Arabidopsis thaliana: one gene and its partner. The protein of the gene in region 1 interacts with the protein of each later gene in a pairwise test. Each region holds a gene or a part of one and is shown on either strand. Other genes may lie near its edges.

What was found. The genes of interacting proteins can lie anywhere in the genome.
Region 2: the proteins of AT4G16670 (region 1) and HB-12 interact in a two-hybrid assay, tested with the Arabidopsis thaliana proteins (one large-scale study listed by BioGRID).

The regions. Positions count from the first base shown.
Region 1 is NC_003075.7:9,382,952-9,387,667, reverse strand, and holds the start of AT4G16670 (auxin canalization protein (DUF828)), read right to left. Parts: upstream 2,489-4,716; 5' UTR 2,343-2,488; coding exon 1,992-2,342; intron 1,489-1,991; coding exon 1,098-1,488; exon of another isoform or gene 976-1,097; coding exon 775-975; intron 681-774; exon of another isoform or gene 646-680; coding exon 596-645; coding exon of another isoform or gene 509-595; coding exon 451-508; coding exon of another isoform or gene 446-450; exon of another isoform or gene 397-445; intron 337-396; coding exon 98-336; 3' UTR 1-97.
Region 2 is NC_003074.8:22,913,232-22,917,947, reverse strand, and holds HB-12 (homeobox 12), read left to right. Parts: upstream 1-2,554; 5' UTR 2,555-2,708; coding exon 2,709-3,062; intron 3,063-3,248; coding exon 3,249-3,602; 3' UTR 3,603-3,794; downstream 3,795-4,716. UniProt on the Arabidopsis thaliana protein: Probable transcription activator that may act as growth regulators in response to water deficit.

The DNA.
Region 1 (4,716 bases):
CTACTTGCAGATATGTATATGTTCTTGAAACAATACATATCATTGGCTTGTAATGAAAATAACCAACACTAACACCGTTAACACAAGACATCATGATTTATGTGCTATCGTTAATGTTTATAGTTTCAAGAGAAGTGTCGACCTCAACAGCAGTTACTCGATGGAGAAGATTCCGGATGCTATCCACCCATGTCTGCTTATCAGCCTTGCTCTTGCACTTGAACTTTGTCAGACCTTTCCCTGTACCGATTCCGAAATAGAGCTCTTCTTCTGTGTTTTCCGTGTCTTTTCCATTTTGCAGGCCTGAGACTGTCTCGCATACATCATTTACAATGCCTGTAGTGATTCAACCACTGGATTATTGTAAAGCATTGGACAAAGTCCCAAGATCACTCTGCTTATACAAATGAACACCATAGACATTGAAAGAAAGAAGAGTAGCTCACTAACCTTTGCTTTTCATGGAGAATGCTCCTACAACGTGTTTGCTTTTGATTTCTACTATGACCTGCAAAAGAGAAACCGAGCAAAATTCAACTCTAGAATTCAACCAGCATATAACTTTGTTAGCTTCAATGAGTATTCGATGTTTAACCTGAGATTTTTTGTTGATGTACACTTTTACATGCTTCCACCGCAGAACACCTGGAAAGTCCATGAGTCAATTCATCAATCTCGTGGTAAGTGAAATTTTTTTGTTTCCAATTGATTCTTGAATTATAATATCATCATCATTCACAACAATTAGTAAAGAAGCTCTTACTGAAACATTACCGTTTCGTGTGCACTGCATTAGCTCTCCAGTTGATTCTTCAACTCCTTTTGCAGATATGAGTTCATCGGTCGTGCTAGTGCGATCGAGCTCAGAAGAGCAACTATGAGTCTCTGGTAAAACTCTCTCACAGGGGCTTATAGCTGCACTGTTCTTAGCTTCCTTTGGTAGTCTTACCCTCAAAGCTGCTTCTCCTCTCAATGCTACATTATCGAAAAACCGAGAATCATAATCGAATGATCAACTCAAAACTACAATGGACTAGTCAAATTCAATAGAGCGAAACAATCAAGGATTGAGAATTGAAGTCAAACAATCAATGTACCTGTTGCAGCTGCAGCAGTTAGAGTCAACAAATCGCCAGGTCCACGAACATCAACAGCTGATCGGACAGCAGAGACGACGCGATCGTGATCGGCGCCGGCAAGCTCCGCCAATTCGAGGCAGTGAGAAGCTAACAACTCCGACGCCGAGGCAAGGGCTGAGCTCATCTTTGATCCAGCGAAGCCGTCTTGATTGCCTGAAGCGGTCACTGCGGCGATTGCCGTCGCCAGAGACGCAATGGACACGGCGGAATGCAGATGAGCTTTCTCCACGCGAACTCTATCTCTCTTCTTTACGGCGGAGACCTTCCCGCCGACGAATTCTCGGTGGTGGAACCATTTTCCGATCGTTCCCGTTCTCCGCGCGTGAACCGCACTCGCTAGCTTTCCCGTCTGTTGAAGAAAGAAACAATTTAAACATTTTGGGCTTTTTACAGATTGGGTCTTAATATTATTATTTTGGTTCTATAAATATATTCTTGGCCCATAAACTTAAAACACCTAACAAATTGTTAGCATAAAGTAATAATTTCGTTACACATGAGAATATAATGAAAATTACTTTACACTAAAAAAAAAAAAGTATTTACAACATTATTGGAAAATAACGTCTAACTGTTTCACTTATTGTATCTTTGTGGCAACTACTGAAAACGACAACTTATTGTATGCAAATTTATAAACGTGAAAATTCAACTATTAAAATCAATTACAAGTGTATAATATTTTGATCCCAAAAAAAAAAAAGACTTCATTTGCATGCATCCAAGATCTTTAGTGAGTTTCTAATAGTACTATCAAAATTAATTTCCTTTATTTGATGGTAACGTACGATCATATCAACCATACGAACTTAATATACAATAAAGAGAAGATGAAAGCAAGAGACGGCTTACTTGTAGCGGCGGTGGTGGTGCTACCGGAGCCAGAGAAGTGACATCGGCCAACTGAGAAATATTAGGGTTTTTGTTGAGTTGTTTATCAGATTTCTGAGATGATAAAGCTAAAGAGATCTCAGAAGTAGAAAGACTCCATGATCTGCATAGAAACTCCATCGGCTCTCTCGGTGTTTTAGGCCGAGGAGGGATTGGAGGATACGTCGCCGGAGGCGAAGAACACTCCGACGTTTCGTTTTCTGGTACTGACGACAACGTCATGCTCTCTTCATCGTCTTCTTCGATTTCTTCCTCCTCTCTTACTCCTTGTAGTCCGTATGGAATCAAGTTCAACGTACGGTCATACTCCATTTAGATCAGATCTCTGATTATGAAAAAGAATCAAATATTCGATCACTTGTGCACTGTACAATAAATGTTTTTGTGTATGTGAAGATATCTTATAAAAATATGTGCACACACTGACACACACCATGGTTGATTTTTATATATAGAGAAAGAGATGGCTACACTAAAGAGTCAAAGAGAACATCTTTGACAAGGCACGTTTTATTGCAAGACGTGGATCTTGTCCCTGTTTTGTTTTTGATGGTGTACTTTATTTTAATAATTAGAAAATCAATCTTGAGGTTTGTGAAAATTATTGTTACATATTTTTCCCATTGAAACTATTTAGAGTAACCAAATTTTTATTGAAGCCATATTTAGTAGAATAACTCGAACTCCGATCGATCAACTTATATTGTGAACCTTTCACCATGAGTTGGTGAAGACTTAAGACACAAAAAATTATAACTACCTCTACATTATTATCTTCATGTCTTCATATGTTGTTTCCTATACAGACTTATATATATGTACAAACATTTTATTAAAATTATATCTTTGTCAAGAAATTTTTGTTCATTTATATTTTTATATAAACGATCAACGTGATTTCTACGAAGGTTAATATTAAAAAAAAATTAATACGTGGTATTTACAGAGGTTCAGAGATACTATGTCGATTTCAGATCGTAGATAATGTTGTGATGACATATTAAATTACCATAAACGTTATGCGATAAAGATTGCCTTCTTATCTCATCGGAATCCTTGCTAGGCAGGAGATCGAACCGCAAACAAGACAAAAATTTGTGTAAATGATAGACATCTACCTGTAAATAAAGTTGTTAGTTGCGGATTTAAGCGATTGATATATATCATAAAAATGATTAAATATTATTTATTCGGTTCAATATATATGAGACCTTCTAGTATGATTCCTATTTGATAAATTTCACATTTAAAATATGAAATAGAAACGATTGTTACAAAAAGATTACACCATAAGTTAAATTTCAATCACATCGATAAGACTTGCACATGGAAGCATAGAGAATTGATTGATATCAAATATTGACAATAATGTAGTTGAAGCAATTAGTTTTATGGACATAAATCATCTTATCAAAGAGTACTTTTTGTGAAAAGTTACTTCACGAATATCAAATGTTGATTAATTATTGAGTTGAAAATTTAACGTTTGATAGTTGACAATATCAATTCGTACGGTTACTCATTCATCATCGATTGTAACCGCTCACTCACCCACATCCACTTTTTTCACTTAAGCTAACATACAAATAACTAATAGACTTTCATCTTGACATATTGTGGTCATGATTTTGGTTGATACTCGATGGTTATGTTTATTACGTTATATTGGGAATGGTTTACCTTTCATATAGTTTTTTTTTTTTTTTTTTAACTTCTAATAGAACAATAGATGTCAAATGAGACTACTATCAACTGGTGGCTAATTCGTTTTCTTACATGTTACGTACCATTTTTAATTTGCGATCATGCTTTTGTATGATATTTTGATAGTTATATTGGCAGTTGTTATAAACTTACACATTATGTATCCTCATATAGTAAATATTTTTGTATTTATCTTTAATCAGTCCAATTCCAAACAAGACAAGTCATTGTCACTTTGGGACTAGAAGATAACCTGCATATATATTCTTTTCATTTAATGAAAACTAACCAAACTTCAATAATGCTATGAGATACTGTTGTCTGGTCCCATCATAGGTTAGACAGTTTCTATTTTCTTAGTCAACTGAACCAAAAATAATAATTTAGTCATATAGCTAATGTGGTTAATCAACTTTACAATAGTTTTGTGTAAAACATGAAAACGGAATTTGTTGTTAAAGTTTGGGAATACTTAACCGGAAGAATAAAAATTACGCACGTATGAAAAATATACATTCCCAACGTTTTGGCATGATATATCTATTAAACTAAAATTGGAAAATAAATTAGTAAATGAAACGCAAAGTTTTTCTTTTTGTTATTGACTCATTGTCATTGAGGAAGGTCACCGTACCAAAGAAGAAAAACTTGAAGAGGATCAATATCTTGCATGAGGGGGAATTAATTGTTTAGTTTGGTGCAACGTCATTTTCACTTTCACAATATGGCGGTGCATTCATAATAAACGAAACCTTATTGAATGAAACTTGCAAGTCCCACCAAACTTTACTACCCAATTATAATTTTCATTCCTCTTTTACCTTTTTAGAACTACAATACGAAATGTTTTGGGATTAACCAAGCTCTGGCAAAAGGATATTTCATAAGTTCATCCTTGAATAATCAATCAACAAGCTCATAATTCTTATTTTGAAAAAAGGACAAATACCATACGTACGGAAACATTCACGATAAAGATTGA
Region 2 (4,716 bases), on another chromosome or scaffold:
ACGAAGAATGTGCATATTTATAAATCTGTGAATATTTCAAAAGCTTTACACGCGGCAAGGCCAAGAGGTTGGAAGAATATGCAAAATACAAACATGAAATGACAAGGCGCCTTAAAAATAATAATTAAACAAATATGACTTTAAAAGGCTCTATAGTCTTATGTATATGTTCTGTTAAATTTATCCAAATTAAATGAGCCAAAACTACGTTTAGTAAGTATTAGAAATCATAGCCAAGATGTAAATCTAATTAAAGAGGACGAAATTTGATTTCTTAAGTTTTATTTCTCAAAACCATATTACTAGTTTAATCTTTATCATTAAACAGAACCAGATTTCTCTTAGACAAATGAAAGAAAAAATAGAAGTAAAGAATCATCTTCTCTTACGCATCTTATCAAGAACTGCTACATTTAAGCTAACCTCGACACGTGATAACATTTGTCGGACGCAATTTTCATACACAGCCACAAAGCAATCACCACGTCATCTTCTCATCAACTTGGCTTTCTTAATGGTGCCAAATGGCAATGAGTCAGTGGTTGATCTTGACAACTTTGATTGCTACTTGTCTGAAATGTCTACAGATCTGATTCATTACATTGTATACCAAAACTTTCGTCCATTTCCTTGTTGAAATAAGTCGATGTAAGTCATTCTATTCAAATATTTTTTTTCATGAAGTAATTTTCTGGTTTTAAAGCAAAGTAATAGATTATTTATAATTTTTTTAATTTTAATGGCTTAAGGCTAAAGTGACGTTGGATCGATGAAGCCGCCATAGTTCACAAATGGCCGAATTTAATTTGTTGTTTGTATTTAATAAGTCAAAAGAGATTTCCGAGAAGCAAGGTGAACGTAACCTTAAACTAATCATTAGAACATTAATTATATAAGTTGCGTTTATCATTAATATTGTTGCTTAAAATTACAAACTTTCAAAATCCCATGGTTAAGATAATTAGTGTTTCAGAGCCTAAGACGGAACGGAACTTGTGTAATTTTGTAAGAATAAACATATTAACTTCGTGTCTAAAAAAAAACATACTACACTGACTTCGTTTTCTAATAAGTAATTGTTGTAGAATTTTAATTTATTTCTGTTTATGTAAACTGTTATTTTGTATGTTTAATGCATATATTTTAGACAAGATACTTCTATCCATAATAGTTAGCTTATTAATAGAGGTATAATAATCTTTTTAGATTTCATATTATATTTAGTACTATTGGTTTTAGAAAAATGGAAAAAGGTCAAATAAATAATAGGAACACCACTGGTTTATATTTCTTTTCTGGATTGTGTATACTTTTTAGAAGAAAACTAAAACGGCATGTTGAAAAGGAAACCAAGAGGATAGTAATTAGGTCAGATTACTTGTTTAGTTACAAGAAAGTCAAGAAATCTCATAATTGAGTTTAAAACTTTAAACATTTGCATGGAAGTCAATAAATCTATAATCCTTACTCGTGATCATCTTATTGTTTCCGTGTAACGAAATTAAACGCGTAAAACATCGCGTAAACTATAGTACGGTATGTGATATGCAAATATATCTTAATTTATTTTTTATTTTTTATTTTTCTTGGGCAATGAATTGAAGAGTTGCAAAATTATTTGCCAGCTTACCACATGCGGCCACAATTTTAACCATGATTAATCTTCTTTTGGAATTTAGCGAGATAAATCAAGAGTAGGTTTATTTTAGAACATAGTATATAATACACTAATGAAAAGTCTCGTTAAAACGTGTTTCACGTAACCGACCTCTAAAGTATGGCGTGCGAGTAACGACAAATGAAATCTCAAATGAAAATGGAGATTATTTTAATCTTAATTATAACACACTAATTAACACCCGTCAAACATCCTGATATGTGAACGTGGAATCTCGTTACACAATCGAATAAAATTATTGCTTAATACGATCCGTCTTTCTCTCTCTTTCGTAATGATTATCTATCAATATTATCTTGACTAATAAAAGTATCGCAAGGCCTTGGCAGTCACATGTTAAATGATGATATACGTTGTTGCATGTTAAAACATAGTACAACGATCATCTAGGCTGCTGCTAAATTCTATTTTCAAAAATGCCTTTTATATGCAAGAAAAGCAAAATAATCGAGTTTTTTTTTTTGTTTCATTATAAACTGCTTCATTTTTCTTAGGAACGGCCAAACTGTTAAAAAGTAAAATATGTATGGTGATTAATTGATGTAACCAAAGCCAGTTCGCCCGTTTGATTGTCAACCCACGTTATCATTCACTTGATCACTTCCATGAAACATATAAAAGCTGATAATACTTATATTATAAAGGAAAAAAAGTATGAAAATATTATCAGTAGTTAGATGATTAGTTCACATCTAAATGAAATACGACTTAAACTGAAAGAGACATGAGCCAATTCGTGTCGAGCCACAAATTTTGGACGTATATTTTTAGCCCGTGGTTCCACAATATTTGCAGGTCTTTTTATTCAATGAGTTTATTTTGTCTTGGTTGAATAATGAAATTTCCAAATATAAAAAATAATAGAAATCCGAGGCCCTACACAAGCACACATAGTAACTCCCACATTATATATAAGCGGCCAATATCAGCAACTCAGAGATTCCAGAAAGAAAGAAAAAAAAGAAACAAATAATTCCAAAACCTTCTCTCTTAATCAAAATCAAGAAACTTACAAGATCTGGTGAAAACCATGGAAGAAGGAGATTTTTTCAACTGCTGTTTCAGCGAGATTAGTAGTGGCATGACCATGAATAAGAAGAAGATGAAGAAGAGCAATAACCAAAAGAGGTTTAGCGAGGAACAGATCAAGTCACTTGAGCTTATATTTGAGTCTGAGACGAGGCTTGAGCCGAGGAAGAAGGTTCAGGTAGCTAGAGAGCTAGGGCTGCAACCAAGACAAGTGGCTATATGGTTTCAAAACAAGAGGGCTCGATGGAAAACTAAGCAACTTGAGAAAGAGTATAACACTCTTAGAGCCAATTACAACAATTTGGCTTCACAATTTGAAATCATGAAGAAAGAAAAGCAATCTCTGGTCTCTGAGGTACATAATGATTCTATCGATATCTTTATCTTTAATTGAACAGTGATAGAAACAATAATTGATAATGATCTTTTTTTTTTATAAAGTATAAAATAGCAAATACAGTCTTGGCATTTATTGGTTTTTGGGGGATGTAAATTCTCGATCATTTTGCCTAATTTGATATTAATCAATCTCTATTTGCAGCTGCAGAGACTAAACGAAGAGATGCAAAGGCCTAAAGAAGAAAAGCATCATGAGTGTTGTGGTGATCAAGGACTGGCTCTAAGCAGCAGCACAGAGTCGCATAATGGAAAGAGTGAGCCAGAAGGGAGGTTAGACCAAGGGAGTGTTCTATGTAATGATGGTGATTACAACAACAACATTAAAACAGAGTATTTTGGGTTCGAGGAAGAGACTGATCATGAGCTGATGAACATTGTGGAGAAAGCTGATGATAGTTGCTTGACATCTTCTGAGAATTGGGGAGGTTTCAATTCTGATTCTCTCTTAGACCAATCTAGCAGCAATTACCCTAACTGGTGGGAGTTTTGGTCATAAAAGCATATAAGAAAAAAACAGAACATAAGCGAAGAGAAAGAGTGTGAATAGTTTGTAAATTATGTGTTAAGAAAAATAAATTTAGTTTAGTTTAAATCTTGTTTCGATCTATGTATCTACTATGTTCAATACTCTTTGTAGCTAATTAGTAGCTTATAATGAGACTAGAAAAGTTTTGAAGTCACCAAGGTTAAATTTGTGATTGCAAGTTGGCTCTAAGAGTGTTGGACCAAGCGTAATGATCACAAGTACAAGAGTCTTCGTCCATAATGATCTCGAAACGGACTAAAAATTGACCTAAATTTGAAACTAAGTGCATTTATCTCTATATTGGTGCTCTGCTATAATGCTTTCAATATCCTCGAGATGAATTGTCTATGAATTTTATCACCAAATATCAGTTTTGATCACATTCCGGTTCATCAGCTCAGGTTACTCTGTCACTCCCTTCCTATGAGATATTTGTAGCTGGATTGGCAGATATGGAACAACTTCTTGTAGATGCAGAACTAGTTCCTTTTGGTGTTTGTCTTTCCAGTTTATAAGGAACAATCGAGTCATGATAATCTTCCTATGATTGATGTCATGTGGGACATGTGCTTTGTAACCAGACTCTCAACAGAATGTAAAAGAATGGCTCTAAGTCAAGTCTTTATAGTGTCCTTAATCTTGTAGCAACGGTAGCCCCTGGATCATCCCTTCTTCCTTGAGAAATCAAAGCAAACCAATGTTTCTCTTATGGTTCTGTTCTGTATAATATGGGGGTATTTTGGGAATTGAAGTTTTCAACGTCTCTTTCATATGTTTCCTTTTTTAAAGTCCCGCTCCTGTATAAAGCAAACCCTTCGAAATGGGTCGGACAATATGGGCCTTATCACGATGGGCTTTAAAACTCTTATTCATCAAACTAAACCCAACTTAGAAAGAGTTACCCAACAGGGTTTGCATATCACTTCCATTTTACTTTTTATCTTCGAAACAAATCCAAATCTTGGACCAAGAACAATATCTAGATATTGGATACTTTCAGTGAATAAAATATGAAAAACCACTGTTAAATTTCTATACATACACATTTTGACCTGACAAGATCTTTTACTCTCAAAAGAGATAA